Linked DNA regions of Schizosaccharomyces pombe. The gene in region 1 interacts genetically with each later gene. Each region holds a gene or a part of one and is shown in the gene's direction. Other genes may lie near its edges.

Evidence for each region.
Region 2: mutations in trs130 (region 1) and ppk29 together harm fitness more than expected from each alone (negative genetic interaction), as found in Schizosaccharomyces pombe (one large-scale study listed by BioGRID).

Annotation. Positions count from the first base shown.
Region 1 is NC_003421.2:1,821,617-1,829,320, forward strand, and holds trs130 (TRAPP complex subunit Trs130), read left to right. Parts: upstream 1-1,704; 5' UTR 1,705-1,757; coding exon 1,758-1,785; exon of another isoform or gene 1,786-1,834; coding exon 1,835-2,061; exon of another isoform or gene 2,062-2,149; coding exon 2,150-3,820; intron 3,821-3,864; coding exon 3,865-4,290; intron 4,291-4,314; exon of another isoform or gene 4,315-4,332; coding exon 4,333-5,433; 3' UTR 5,434-5,487; coding exon of another isoform or gene 5,488-5,626; 3' UTR 5,627-5,676; coding exon of another isoform or gene 5,677-5,744; 3' UTR 5,745-6,185; downstream 6,186-7,704. Other genes in the region: rps2802 (40S ribosomal protein eS28), read right to left, coding at 5,488-5,626, 5,677-5,744; msh6 (DNA mismatch repair protein), read right to left, coding at 6,186-7,704.
Region 2 is NC_003423.3:2,487,832-2,496,797, forward strand, and holds ppk29 (Ark1/Prk1 family protein kinase Ppk29), read left to right. Parts: upstream 1-4,014; 5' UTR 4,015-4,091; exon of another isoform or gene 4,092-4,129; 5' UTR 4,130-4,216; coding exon 4,217-4,316; intron 4,317-4,388; coding exon 4,389-4,522; intron 4,523-4,561; coding exon 4,562-6,946; 3' UTR 6,947-7,387; downstream 7,388-8,966. Other genes in the region: Rho-type GTPase-activating protein Rga5, read left to right, coding at 1-61; SPOM_SPBC557.02C (uncharacterized protein), read right to left, coding at 494-1,105; pim1 (RCC1 family Ran GEF), read right to left, coding at 1,203-2,216, 2,392-2,997; SPOM_SPBC557.05 (arrestin, meiosis specific), read left to right, coding at 7,393-7,907, 7,950-8,522, 8,566-8,779.

The DNA of each region.
Region 1 (7,704 bases):
AGAAAGTTAAATTATTATTATTCTAGATGTATATATATTAACTTTTGAAACACGGTTTTACGCTTTGTTTGCCAAATGAAATAATCGAGTGTTTCAATCAAACGACTTAAATTCTTGGAAAAGGTAACTTTGATTTACGATAACAAATATATTTAAAAATTTTTAATATTGAACAATTTACTTTTTCGTTTACTCTATTTTGCCGTAAGCCAAAGGGTTTATAGATACATTTCACTCCCCATCAATGATTTATATAACGAAGCAACAAAAGCTTTACAAGTAAAATACAAATTCCAAAAAAAAAAAAAAAAAAAAAAGGAGTAATGTAAATATTCTATCATGGCAGTAGTTTCATTGCATTAAAAAAAAACGCTTTTGCAAAATATGAACACTGTAAAATGAAATAATCAATCATAAACTTGAAGATGAATTTTTAAAAAAAAATCAAAATTATAAAAAAAAGTTAAAAAAAATAGCTAAAGACACTACAGATCTTACAATCTTTGTGCGTCTATTTTATATACTATCAAAATAACAAAATATTAATAAACTCAAATATAATTTGCCGCATATTCATAACAGGCGATGTAGTACAATAAAACAGTTCGAAAATATTGAGAAGATTTTTTTTTATAATCAATTCATGAAAATGCCAAAGCTTCAAATATCAACTCAAAGAATGGTTATTATGCTGTCAACATCGACTTTCTCCGAGTCTATAAACGAAGCGAACGAGTTACAATTTATCTTCGTAATTGAAGATTAAATTATGTATTAATTCTGTAGAAGTTCAGATTCCATAACCTTAATCTCAGGTAGAAGTCGTACTTTTACTTGTATGTGCACGAATTGGAACAACATTAACAGTCTTCATTTTTTCGCATATTGCTCTACACTATTAAAACCGTCTTAAAATTGAAGACGATGTTAGAAAAATTATTTAGCCATCATTAGGAAATAATTAAATTAAAACATTTGAGGACTCATAGTTTCTTGACTTTATGATGAATTTGCAATTTATTTAATTAAGGACACTTAAATTTACAAGCTGAGTATTTATAAAACAATATTATAAAGAGTCATAAAAAGAAGAGTGATTATATAAATCAATAACTGAGACAAGAACAAACATTCGCAGGAAACATTTACTACAATATTATTATTTAGCTTGGAGCACTTGTCATGATGATATAGCGTATCTTTAGAAACTTGTACGAACTGCACAAACCTGGTTTTTCATGTATGCTGTAATACATCGTTGAAGTCCGTAAATTGCTTTAAACCATGCTGCGGCGAATAACATTATATACAATATAACCGTATACAAGTATAAGAGTTAACTAATGATTATATATATTTTGTTACAAAGTTATGCATTGCATAATATTATAATTAAATATGGAATAGTTACAACTAAACGAACGAAACATGACTTCGAAATTTACTACAGCTGCACTTAATTTAATAAAAGATTTTTTTTAATTTTGGAACGATAATTTTATATTTGCTGCGGAAATTGCGAATTATAGAAAACATAAATAGTAGAGATAATTAACGTATTGTAACGAAACAAGAGATTGCTGACATGTTAAATATACATAACAAGCCATAAAGATTCCATAAGCCAATTAACGCGATTTGCGGTCACAACACTAAGCATAGCTCACCATTCGTTTATATGACTCAATTGTCAACAAAACTCTTAAGATAATCATTGTAAAGAATTTAGGACTTTACAATTCCGGCTTTTCTTACTAATGAGTAAAAAGAAGCCTATAGTTCAATGTAAGTGAAATATTCTCTTTTAATTGTGAGCTAATGAAGTGCTGTTTAGATTATGATCCTTTTGACTTATGGCCCTCAATAGCTACGGACATTGAGAGTAAGATTCCCCTTCGCAATTTGCAATGGGTTGAATCATATCAGTATAAGAAGCACACTATTACAAGCTTAGATCTTGAATTTTTGCCTTGGTTAGAGGAATTTTCGTCTCAAGACACCTCAAAGGATCCTACGTTACTGAATATTCCTTTAGTAAACATGCTTTTTCTTCCAGAGCAGGTAAGTACAGTAAGGAAAGTTGACCTTGTAACCTACCATCAGCTTCCATAGTTATTCTGATTGACACGCACTAACATTGTAAAAAAAGGACGGTGAAATATACAAAACACAGCATAAGCCATTGGCTACAAAATGGTTCCAAAAAGTTTCGAAAAACGAAAATCAATCTTGGATGATTGTACTTGTTGCTGAAGCTCAGCAAGCAAAACGCTCCAACAGTTTGCGTCGCACTCATTCTCGATCTAGTTCTTATTTCGCTGTAAAATCGACCATTGATAGGGTTCGCGGAGATTTTAATACTGGAAATATTAATCATTGCGTACGACTAGACTATGTTCGATTTGGGACCCCCGATGCTGAAGGTTGGAACGAGTTCCTCAAATGTCTTGAGTGGGCCGTCCTCAGTTCATTGGATAGCAGATTTTTACAGCTTTCTGAACAAATAAGGTCGATAAAGTTGTTTGATAGCTCTATATTCTCTGATTACCTATTGTTTTTTCTTCAAAAGGAAAGGCTGGCCGCTAGCTTTTTTGACCTTGTGTTATATCGGGAATCACTAGAACAATGCGAAGACATGTTTTCAACGCTTTCTAAAATAATAAGTGCCATAGATGGAAAAAAAGAGAACATTTCCAAATACTTGGGAGAGGGTTCAGATGCTCAGCCAGACCTTAAGGATTTCAATTCTTCCTTTCTCATATTAGGATCACGATACAATACCCTCCACAATCTTTTAGCAGATGGCGATTTTACATTATTTCATTTCACTTTATTTCTTTTGTCAAAAATAATCTTACTGAATCTAAAAATATCCGACTACGAGAAAGCATTTTCAACCCTTCAACAGGCCTTACTATTTTTAACCTCGTCCTTCTTTAATGAATTCGTCCAAAATAATTTGGAAATAATCGCTGCATTTAATTATGATTGTTATACTCTTCTGTTTAAGAAAATTACTGAAGCTATCCACAACAATGATACCCCAATCCCATTGTGTTGTGCAAAAATTTTACTGTACGCTCGTCGCCAGTTAACAAGGATGGCAAGATGGAACAACCTGATTGATGATTCTTCGCCTCTCCTTTGGCGTGAGCCTAGTTTTCCATTGATTGAGCATCACGACAATAGCTTATTAGACAATCGCTTTCAAAAGCTTTCGGAGACTATCTCTTCGACCAGTTCGTTTCTATCAGAGTATTACAGGCTATCTTCTGAGGCTTTAAGTATTTTTAAAGCTTATAAGAATCGCTATTCTTTCGTTAATACAGCTTGCGATACTGGATTGGCACAATACCTACTAGAAGACTATGAAAACGCTTATGCTTCGTTAAAAAATGTGGACGTTCAAACTGCATGGTCAAATGATCCTTTGGAAGAAAAATGGTCCAAATTTTACGTAGACTTACTTGAAAAACTTGAAAAGTTTGACGAAGCTTTGGAATTTGCTTCAGCTATTTCTAAAGGGAAGGTATCAATATATAACAAAAACAAGATATTGGAGCTTTCGAAAAAGACAGCTAAATCAAAGGTTTGGAATCTGGATGATTTTTTTACAATAGAAATACCACATATGATGGCCGTGGTGCCCCACGATGATGGAATTAACTTGAGCTTTATGTGCGAGTCAAAAGTTTTTGACCTCGAAAGCGTTGATTCAGTTACATGTAATTATGTTCTTTCTTCGAGTAAGAATCCAATGAATCTACTATTTACGCTGCATAATAGTATAACGGACGGAAAACTTAACGTGCACTGTAATGTAAGTGATCCCACCTTTTATATGTTTATTAACAATGGAAATAGGATATTATTCCTGGAAGATATCATTTGAAGACAATAGTTTTTAAACTCAAAGACAGTGTGCTATCATTTCAAAAAGATTGCTTGCATTCTAACAAACAAATTGAAGTATTGAATCCTACCAAGCATAGTAACCATCTGTATATACTTCAATCAAAAATTTCGCAGCAGTTTCAGAATGATGGAATATTTGCTTGTATACCTATTATGTTTGGTGAACGATTTTACAAAGCAAGTTGCTCAGAGATAAAACTATCTTATATAGAGAATAGCGGTTTTACAAATTTGGAAAAGTCTTTCCTTAGTGAAGAATCGCATTGTGGCCTTGAATCAAAAACTGATTCCTTGGTGATAAAAAACATCCAAAAAGTTCCAGGAGTAGCCAAGTTGTATATACCCCTAACAAATACACCAGTTGAAGGAAATGAAGTATGTAAAAAAAAATATTTCACTATTGCTAACCTTATTTAGTTTCTTATTAACTTGAGCTACATCTTAGAGTCTGGGCAGACAGTTCGATTTGGTAAAGTATTACATATTGAAAATGCTGGGATTGTTGAAGCAAATTGCGAAAAAACAAATAATATGAGGGATCCCCTTACGAGTACAATATTTTTACATATCCAACCAAAGGAGCCCATCATTTTCTGTTCATGGAATTGCATGCGCAAAACCAAGCAAGGTACATATGATAATGTTTTTGATATACCTTACAACATTCCTGTCTTATCCCCTATGGATTGCTTTACGAGCTGCCATTTTGATTCGGATATGTCAATAGATTTGAAGTTTTCCATGAATTGTCTACGTCTTGCAGATGTCGTATTTATGAAATTATGTGTAAACATATGGGAACGGTTCGATTTCATTGACATCGAACATATCATGCCGTTATTAGACCACGCTTGTCAACAGATTTCTTTATCAAACATTACCCAAGGTACGGTAGTACTGCCTGAAGAGATTCGGAAACTTAATGGCAAGAAAATTTTAAACTCATTTTTTGATAATGAGGAGCTTCGGAATGAATTTAGTGAATTTATTCAGCATTTAGAGAGCGAAGTATCCTTTAATAGTCTCAGATCGTTCGTTCAAGAGTTTGAAAAGAAGGAACGATTAAAAAACTTACCCTTCTATTTTTCATTGCATCAAACAATTGGACCTTTACCCTTCAAAGATGAAATGCAAAGTACCACTATCGAGTATATATGGAAGATTCCCCAGAAGGTTTTGTTGAATAAACCTACCGAAATTACACTCACATTCCTTAGATCTTTGACACATTCAAAGAAAGAGAAACAGGGACAGTCCTTCGAGATATTTTACAATTTTCCAGCTTATACTACAACAATCTTGTTTGCTGGACCTACTCAACGAAAGATTGTATGGGAAAAAAATCAAACTACAGCACAGGAACAAGTTACGGCGGTGTTTCTTACGGCTGGGAGAGTAATGCTACCAGAAGTAGTTGTTCATTCAAAAGACGATGATATTTCCATATTGAAGAATACAAAGTACACTCTAGTCGGGCGTCCTTTGAACGATCAACCGGATCTAGATTATGCACCTTAATATGAATTTAGTACGGTAATAGAAAAACAGGTATTTTTCCTTTCGAGATTTTTTCTAGCGCAAGCGCCTGGCTTCACGCTCAGATTCTAACAAGACGAGAATATCATCTTCACGAACAGGACCCTTGACGTTACGAATAATGGAACGGGATGTGTCATCCATGAATTCGACACGGACTTGAGTAACACCACCACTGTATCAATATTAGTTTTTAATTCGAATATCTATCACTTTGTTACATACCGAGATCCAGTACGTCCGAGAACTTTGATGACTTTAGCCAACTTAACTGGGACCTTTGAAGAATCCATGTTGTTAGACCAAGAAGTCTTTCAAAATGAAGTTTTGTTGTGTTCAAAAATGACAGTCACGATATATTTTAGCACCTTGCTTCGTAATGCACTATCTATAGTATTTTGCCATTTCTCTCAAATAACGATGTGTCTAATCATTAATAACCTACGTTGTCGTTGTTGTTCGTTAAATCTATCTGTTATGAGAATGCCTCAGTTACGAAGTGTAATATATAGAAGTTTGCTGGTTAATTAGCTCTCCGGTCCTTCCTACATTTATGTTAATTTCAATTATTGTGTGAACATTTATATTTTAGTTGTTCAGTAGAAAAAAAAAATTGATTAATGTGAACATGCAAATAACGTAAGTAAATGGTAAATAAAAGCAAGCTTCCGCTTGCCAGCAAACGAAAGATATTGCTTTGAATAGTCATAAAACTGATAGAGTGTTGACAGTTATTATTCAAACGAATCAAGTATGAGAGGTATATTCACTGCTGTCAAAGGTTCAATTGACTTTGATATGCGCAACACTTGAAGGAAATCACTCATTAAAGCAATGTCATCGCTTGCGTTAATGAAGCTGGCAGACGCTTGCTCAAGTTCCGAGGCCTTCTCTTCGGCCGCATCAATTACCTTCTCAGGTAAGCCGGCCATACTAGCAACATTCATACCGTAAGACTTAGGGCAAATACCATCTTCCAGCTTATACAAAAACGTTACACGTCTGATTTTTTCATCAACAGCTGCAGCCATCTGCATCAATCGTACTTGTCGATGATGCATAAAATCAACGCAAAGACTTTGATAATGTGTAGAAAAAAATCCCAAACACCCAATATTAGAAACCAAATGATGAAGTACAGCGTAAGCTATCGCGTGACCATCATAAGTACTAGTTCCACGACCTAGTTCATCTAAAATTACCAAACTTTTAGGTCCACATTCGTCCAAAATTTTCTTTGTCTCCGAAAGTTCAACCATAAAAGTACTTCGTGCCGACATTATATCATCATTGGCACCTAATCTAGTGTAAATGCTGGTCATAGGTGTTATACTAGCACGTTTAGCCGGAACCCAGCACCCTAGTTGAGCCATTATAACAGCAATACAGACTTGACGCAATAATGTGGACTTTCCAGCCATGTTTGGACCGGTCAAAACAATCATGTTTGGGGATTCACCTCCTAAAACGACATCATTAGGAACGAAAGTTGAAGCCGCACTTGCGTTTATACAAGGATGTCTCAACTCCTCAAAATACAAGTGTCCGTCCTTCTGTTCAATAATTTCCGGTCTACAATATGGCTCACCCAACGCTGCGGCTGCTTGACTAAGGCTGAAAAAGCAATCAATAGATGCAGTATATTTAATTAAAGCCAACCATTGCTCATAATTAGAATCGAATCGAATATAAAATTTCTCCTGCATTCGCGACATAATTGCTAAATGAAGCTCTTCCGCCTCTAGTAATTTCTTTATTTTCTTTCGTAGTTCATCATTATAGTATCGATTGGTTTTTTTGGTACCTGACATTTTGCACCAATTAACCGGTACTTTAACATCGCTTGGGACTTCGACCTGATAAACCTCTTTACCAATATTTTTAAAATTAAGAGACGAGCACCTTAGCTGCTTCTTGTATTGCTCTAAAAGCGCATACAATTCGTTTTTAAGTTCGGACTGGTATTTTTGAGAAGTATCATATTCGGCTTCAAAGCCAATCTCTGGTTCGAAAACACCTTCTTCTGAAGCCTTTTGCCAATTGAAAGCTCGGGTCCATGCTTCTAATTCCTCTTTCATGTTAGGTGCACTTTGAATTATCTCTCCTAGTAAAGTTCCTTCAGCGACTTCCATGAATTCCTCGCGAAGCTGATCAAATGCACTATTTATTCGTTGGAATCCTTCTAATACTCGAACAAAATCTGCGGGTTTACTTCTTCCGGCATGCACCCGTGATATCAACCGTTCCAAGTCA
Region 2 (8,966 bases), on another chromosome or scaffold:
TAGAAGCTCATCTATGAAGCTTTTCCATACACTTGATCGCCGGAGGGAAAATCGTATGTAATACTTTTAATTGTTTTTCTCTGTTTATCTAGTTTAATTGTCTTTGTCCTTGGTTGTATGGCGAAGAATCTTTTTGTACATATATACTTAGTTGTTACCGTCCGCTCTTTTAGTTTTATTGGGATTTGCATTTAGGCTGGATACCGCTACTGTCGTTTTATGTTTTTTTCTTTGTATTCAGCCATTTTCATTTTAGAAGTTCTACTTAACCATAGTAAGAACAAATTATCCAATTCGTTATTGTTTTTTGTAATTGTTTTTTGTTTTGGTAGATCAATATATTTATCTACATAGTAAATTTATCTGACAGCTTTCAGCTACTTTCGTAATTTTAAATTTTTATTAATTTGGTGTCCATATATCTGTACAAAGAAACTTTTATGAAAACAACAACGACATTGTAACCAGAAAGGATTTATCAATCTATACTTTATTAGGCTCCAAGGAGATCCTGTAACAATTGTAAGAGGCGCTTCTGATCTTCAGATAACTCTTCATCATTATTCACTGACAAAAACAATGGTATCTTCAGGTCTGCAAGGATTGCAAGCTGTTCTTTGTACATCCTGTTTGTCAATTGTACCACTTGTTCATCAAATTCTTGTAAAGCCCTATTGTCATCTAAAGTTTGAGCGGAATCATTGTTGGTCTGGTCATTAAGACAATTGGACGGTTGTTTCAATTTAGGGTCGGAGGAAAGCGGTTTCAGTATTTCTTGAAGCTTAGTTTTCGACTCAAAATGTTGAACTAGCCGCTGCCGTTCCAGAGACCAGTTGCGCTCTTGACGTTCCTGCATAGCCTTCATCTTTCTTAATTTTTGTAACTTTTCGGGATGGCGGGAATTTAGGGCAAAGATGTACCTCAAGGCAGCGGGATAGGTTTTAATTTTTTCTGCGTCCTCTATAGAATTGTTCAACTCAAAATCAGAGGGTTTCCGAGCCTTCGATAGAGGGATGGATGATTTGTCTACATTTTCAAGCTGATTACTCGTTACGTTGGAGGAGCTTTGAAGCTCTTGAAGCAAATCTGCGATTTTTTTATCCATTTGGAAAACTCATGAATTTTGTATGCATCAAACACATTGATATTCAAAATAATTTATCTAGCCCAAAAATAGTTAAAAGAAATTGAGAAATTAAGTACTAAGCAGTGGTGGAGCTGGGTTCGAGAACAGAATCCTTAGATTCAGATGTAGCGGTAGATGGTTCGCCGTTAGAGGTGACATCGGGCTTTGCATCAGTAACGGGAGAGTCATCCGTTTTGGAAGTTTCTTCGGTTTTTAATTTTTTTTCATTTTCGGGTTCGCTTTTTATGCCATTTGCAACTGGCTCTTCGGAAGCGTTGGGAATACCAGCAATGATGGAAAATTGACCACCTGCACCCGCTACACGGATCGCCACTTCCTTGATTGCCTTGGAACGAACTAATGTAGGAACAGCTACATCTTCATCATTATCACCTTGACCAACCTCGTAGTTTTCAGCAGATCCCCATGAATAAACCTTACCATCTGAGGTAACAGCCAAGTTGTGATGGGTACCACACACGACCTGTATAACATTAGTAAGTCCTGGGATTATAGTAGGGGTTGACAAGTAGTAATTGTTTCCCTTTTCATCTTTAACTACTGTTTCTGGAAGTGCATTATCCGGAATTCCTAATTGATGACGATCATCTCGACCCCAGGCTAACACTCTCCCATCTTCAAGTAAGGCTAGGGTATGATGTTCACCACCTGTAATAGACTTAACATTATATCCTTCTAAAGCATCAACGAGTGTAGGCTTTGTAATAACGGCGCCTTCTTCTTCATCTTCTACCTCTATTCCACATTGTCTGGTTATATTTAAGCCCCAAGCATAAACGCGTCCTTTGTTGTCAATCGCAAAAGAATGATACGATCCTGCTCCAACTGAAATAATATTTTTTAAAGCTAACGGTTGAGGAGTCAAGCCTTGAAGTCGACGACGTTCTAACATACGTCTACCCAGTTGAAACTGTTGACCATTACCCCATGTATATACTTTTCCTGTGGTAGTCAAGGCAATAATATGGTCCGTCCCTGTAGCTAATTGACAAATTTCGGGAAGTCGCATCTGCGTCGGTTCAGCTGTACGTTTTTGAGAATCGCTATACCCTAATACACCATCGGAACACTAGTATGTTAGCAAACGAAAAATGATAAATTTATAAAGCCATTTGTTCCAAAAGGGCGAAGGGAAATGATACAATGAGTCAATAGACTATAAACAACACTGCAACGATAACAGCACCTGAATTTGGAATCAAAGATCAAATGATAATTTTTCACGGCCAAAACAAATTACTTACACGGAAAGTACCCCAAGTAAAGCAGCAGCCATTGTCCGTTATTGCTGCAGTGAGATTGTCGCTACATATAACTTTTGTAACGCGTAGATGAGATAAAGCACCTTCGACCTTAGAAGGAGTTCCCTCTAGTAAATCATTGTCAACTTTGTCTCCATTCTCATCCTTTTGATCCTTAGTAAGACGACCAAGGGCATAGTCATCATTAACTCCCCAGGTGTATACGCGACCGTCATGAGAAAGGGCTGCAGAATGCATGCCGCCAACAGCCAAATCGACTACTCCTACTTTATCTGTAGATAAAATAGGATTCAAACGAGGACGATAAACGACATCCATTTCTTCTTCGCCCATACCTAGCTCGTTCATGGAACCGCTTCCAAAGACGTAAACGTTCAATCGTTCCGTAGGTAGTTCAGGTATCTTATTAATTCGCTTTGCGCTTCCTGGGACACGAACGGGTTTGGGTAGAGAGCTGACCTTTGCACGTTTAACCGGCTTTTTGCCATTTTTCATCACATCTGATTCATCTAATTCTCTTTTTTCAACCCCATTTTTTGAGACCTCCTCTCTTTTAGTTGAGCTTCTAGTACTTCTATTAGAAGTCATTATGAGTTTTAGCTGGAAGGGTTAGCTTTGCTACTAACAATCGATTTGTAATTTAAAAAAGAACAAGATGTCATCGCGTATTCCATGCAACCATCACCAGACGCAAATCCAAGAATTACATTTACTTTTTGGTACCACTTACTATAGCTTGGGTTTAAAATATTACAAAAGACAAAAAACAACGATTTATGTCGTTTTTGTTTTCGCAGAGACGTTGTTTTCAAAACTCGAACAAGTCGTTCTGTATACGGATTCTCACTATTCAGTATACTGCGAATCGTTGTTATGTGCAGCTTGTAATTAAGCATTCGTTAATTACAACATAAGCTTCGTTTAGCAAAATAAGTTATTGACTTCAGTAAAAGTTCCCAGCTTGTATTTGTTCAAATGTGTGTAAGGTGAGCTACGAATTTTTATGAAATCCTTTCTTTTTTTTTAACTTCATTTGATTTATATAAATTCGTTTAATCACGTCGAATGTTGAAAATTTGAGACCTCTTCTTATCTGAGAAAGCGGTTTCATGTATAGCTAAACAAAGATCAAATTTAAAAAAAAAGCTCATTAGTCATAAGAAGTTACAGTAAGACTCGGAGTGTCCATCGTTCAGCAAGATCGTATGCGAGAATACGAACTCAAGCAACGCGATTTTAATCTCTTCATAAATTATTTTTATGAGGACCATATACTTTTTTCCCTCATGATTTAATATTTAGTTACAATGAACATAGTCGTTAGCAGTTTCTGTTTTCTTTATTCTTTTCTGGATTTATATGTCTGTGAATTTGCCATGTCATAAATTTGGGTAACGATGTTACTCAACTTGATTCTACAAGTTTGCCTGTGAACTTGAGTATACTGTAAAATTAATTTCTCTTCTTAATCAGCTCAAATTATTAAAAGTTGTAGTTGAAATTTTCAAAATACGGCAAGTTGTCTTGTGGGGGGCGGTTTTATCTATCGGTAATGGCTCAAAGGTTAACCCTATAGAAGGGACTTGTGGTGTTTGGTGACTGGCTCAGTACCTTGCCAACAGCAGAATTGGCATCCCTTGCTCATCTTGATCAAAACTGTGTAAATACAGCCTTTTCAAAGAGTAAGTTATTATAATAAATTTACAACTAACGTAGATAGGGCTTCGGATGCTGTCCCATTGAATTGCGAGAGTGTAAACAATAACCTCGCGACTTCAGCCAGTATTGAACAAAAAACCTCTCTAGGATGTCTGTTGCATCCTTTCTCACGGGCGAAAAGCTTCTAGCAGGATCCAAGTTTGTAATTGGAAAATACAATGTTACTATCGAAAAGTACATAGCCGAAGGTATAATTTTTGGGTTGGATGGATCGAGGAGTATTACAATGAAAGATTTATTTTACTAACATTTTTCATTAGGCGGCTTTTCTCATGTATATCTTGTTCAAACAAATTCCAAAACTGATGGATCACCGATAACTGCTGTTTTGAAACGCATGTATTCTCCAGACGAGAATGCCCTGCGTTTCGTGAAAACTGAAATCGAAACGATGGTATGTTAACGTTATTGATTTTTTTGTCTAACTTATTAGGAACTACTCAAATCCAATCCCCACGTGGTTTCGTATATCGACTCCTGCATATTTCCTCTCGAGAAAGCGGGTGTCAACACTGGATTTGAAATCCTGCTTTTGATGGAATACTGCGCTGGGGGTGGATTGATAGATTTTATGAATCAAAGGTTACAAACTCGGTTGTCAGAGCATGAAGTCTTAAAAATTATTTCAGATATTGTACAGGGTGTTGCTTCCTTACACTATCTGAGACCTCCTCTCATTCATCGCGATCTGAAAGTAGAAAATGTTTTGCTAAGCTTTAATACTTTTAAATTGTGCGATTTTGGAAGTGTGACTGAGCCAATGCATGCTGCTGAAAACTCTAGCGAAATTCAAGCATTAGAAAAAAGTATCAACACATTTACTACCTACCAATATCGTGCCCCTGAGATGATTAATTTGTATTCAGGCTTAGGAATTGATGAGAAAAGTGACATGTGGGCTTTAGGAGTCTTGTTATACAAACTCTGTTACTATACAACTCCTTTTGAAACACAAGGTCCTAACGCTATATTAACAGCTTCATATTCCTTCCCCCCATTTCCTCCTTATTCACATTCTCTTAAAAATGTCATCATCGCTTTACTTCAGCCGAATCCTTGTCTTCGTCCAAATATTTTTCAGTTGATGTGTGAGATATGTCGTCTTAGAGGGACGGCTTTACCTTTTAGGGATATATACAGTGGAAGAGAGTCGTCTTTTTATGATTTGCATAACCGGAAAATAATGTCTTTGCTTCGACAAACAACAACAACACCGTTTGCTGGAAACCAAGTCATGCCGACTCCACAGGTTCAGGGCTCAAGACCTCCCCCTCCTCCTCCTATGCCAGCTCCTATCTATAACGTACCAAATGTGCCGACTGTACCAACCGTTTCCCCTAATCCATTTTTGCAACCTACTTTCTCTGGCACTTCTCAAGCTAGTGCACATCCTTCTATCCACAGCCAATCCGCAACATTTAACAACACTCAAGATGTGAACAGACAGAGTGTTTCGTCTCCGAAGGTTGTTTCATCAAGTTCTGTAACTGGCTCAGGAGCTAGTGGTCGCAAAGTCTACACACCTCAAAGTAAGAATCCCTTCCCAATATCTCAGGGAGTCACGGGAACATCTTCAAAATTTTCTGCTAGCGAGGTTACAGAAGATAATGGTTCACCAAACGCCGGACTCGATGCCGATAACGTTGACGTTGAGGAAGTTGTTAACCAGCGTTATCCTGATCTAAATGAGTTGGAGTCACAGCTTACTAGTCATACTAATATTACGACTAGTTCTCATCATAACCCTAGGGAACAAGAGATAGCAAAATTGGCTGATGATGCATTCGCTAGTTTCCGTCAGACAGCTGGTACTTCAACCGCAAATAGTACTCATACCACTGGTACTCAGGATATATCTGCCTTTGATACAAATTTTTCGGAAGGGGTTGGTAGCGTAAGGTCTTCTTTTGATTTCCCTGATCGTCCAGTATCTAGACGACCTTCAAGCACTTCTAGGTCGTCTGTTAAAATTACTGGACCTTCGAGCCCCAATGCGCGTTCTATGGCTTATGAGCAACACTCCTTTAACCTTGATGATTTGAGTAATACTAATTTTGGTTCTAATAATTCTCTTAGACATGCCAAATCATTTTCCAAATATTATTCACCTTCTCATAAAGATTCGAACAAAACTTCCAGAAACACATCTAAAGAGGGGCTCCCCTCCAGTCCTACTATGCTCTATCGTACAACATCTAATACTAGAGGTGACTATATCGTTCAACGCACACAACAGTCTGCCAATCCTTTGACAAATATCGAACCCCAAGATATGTCAAACCTTAGTACTGATATTAATGCTTCTGACGTTGTTGCCGATTCAACCAACTCTATTCTTTATCCTACTTCGACCGCGTCTTCTGTTGCCAACACTATTGCCTCCGATGTTGACGACTTTGGAACTTTTAATGGTTTACAAAGAACCGTGAGTTTACATAGTGAGCGGGCAAGTCTTGACAAGAAGCGTCCTTCTTTTCATGACAAAAATCCGTACTTTAAATTTTCTCCAAGCAAGTATGTTGACGAAGGATTGGAAGGTGAAAGTGAATTAAGAGAGCGTGTACGAAGTTATGCTAACCGCTCAAGTTCAAGTTTCCATAATCCAGATTTAACAGACACAGAAATTCAAGAGACGTCTTTTAATAACGATTTGAGGCCTGTAGCTTCTATTCAAAGTGCAGAAACCTCCAGAAGCGTAAGTGATAGACCTGCAAATTTTCCAGAGGAATTAAACGACACGTTATTTGAGCAAAAATATCCGGGAATTGTTGATTACGAGGAACCCAATTCGAATGCAGAAAAGAACGTTAATATTTGAGTTATCAACCAGACTTTACCGACTTTAAACTAATTATATTTTTTTGCAATGATTTATTTCCTTATTATATATATAAATCCTTCATGCAAATTCGGTGTTGCCTTTGAAGAGTTTTAGATGGATGATTTTTTGATATGTACCGCTTGATGTCACGGCCTGTGCTTCAAGTCTTTGGAATTTTTACTCATGTTATTCTCTGTATCTATCGTTGTTCACTAGTTCTCCAGGAATTGGAGTTCCCTATACATAACTCGGATACATAGTAGCCAAAATTCTAATATCAGTTTTTCAATATAAATTCCATTTTTTGGATTATTGTAAAAGCTTTAGTTATTGACAAGTTATTATTTATTTTCAGCGCAGAGTTTTATGTTGTCAAAGCTCGTTATTCCAATCGTGGTTAAATAATCAGAACAAGTAAACAAACAAATACCCAACTAGATAACATGGATTTGTGGAAGAAAGGAAAGCGCTTCTTTCGATTTAGTAAAGAACCAGTAATTACATGTATTAATACTAGTTATGCTGGTAAAGAAATTATATTTGATTTAATTGCCAACCCGCAAATGGAAACTAAAGATGTCAATCTTACTTTGGATTTTGATGCACCAATTTTCCACCGAAAAGCAGGAATAGACGGGCTGCTAACACTAACTAATAAGTCAAAAGTAAACGAAATTCAGCTGATCAGTATCGAAGTCTTTATAATTGGAATATGTAAACACAAGTTTCATTCGTCAACAGTCTTCCTGTGTTTAGGAACTCACATCATGGAAGGGCAATACATTGTACCAGAAGAACTCTTAGATTATGCTAAAAAAAGGGGGAAAAACCGGATAATCAGTATTCCCAATCATTCAACAGTTGACATTCCATTTCAAGTCAATTTTCCTAAACACGTCGAAGTAGGACCTGGCCGACAAATCCATTCAAGGGTAAAGGTACAGTATTTTGCATACGCGTAAGTAAAAGTGACAATGATACACGCAAGCTAACAGTTAAGCAATATAATTTACCAAAGCGCAGACAAATTGAGAAGTCGGAGAGAATGCCAAGAAATAAATGTACTACCCAGCATATCACCATCCTCGTTTTTAGACTCTCCCTCCATTATGTGCGTAAGTAAACAACCAGACTTAAAAAAGGACCGTCAACGTAAATCGGCCACAAGAATTACTGTGAGTTTGCCCCGAACAGACTGGCTTGCCGGTGAGTCAGTGGTTTCGAAAATTAAAATCGAAAACCATAGCAAATCCTCAATTAAAACCTTAAAACTTTGTTTGTACAGACGTATTATTGGCTTCGATCCACCAAGTTGGAAGACACAGCAAATGATGAGCCATTTAAATTTAAGCCGAAAGAATTCAGAAGTCTCCAAAACATGCAAATGTTTGCAAAAAGAAACAATCAGATGTAATAAAAAGAGTAACTGCTATAATTGGAATGGAATAGCTGCTCTAGAAACGTATACAACTGAATGTCATATTCAAATACCTGATAAAGAGGCAACAATAACCGTCGGCTCAAATTTTGAAGTTGACCATTTCTTGAAAATTTCTGTCGGGAATAAATTATGGTAAGGATTAAAATTTAATTAAGATATATACTAATACTTCAAGGACACTTAATCGAGTAGAAATACCGTTCAAAATTATTTCGGCCAATTCCCTTTCGTTAGAGCAAGAGAATGTATTTTTAAATCTAGAAAAACTAACGAATAAAGCCTCACCACATGGGCTTCCTATATCTGTGCGATTAGGAAATAGTTTATCATATGACGCATTGTCAGCGGCTAGGCGTATGAGAAATACTCGTTATTTTTTATATTCCTGAAGCAGAAATGAAGTTGATAAATCCAAAGGCAAATGAATGATTGAACATTACATAGTTTTTTTGAAGCATCCATTTAAACTTACCGCGTACAGAAAAGTATCTCAAGAAATACCTTTATTGAGATACAAAATGTTATTTAATATCACTCAATATTCCATAAATAGAGCAACATAAGGACATAAATTAA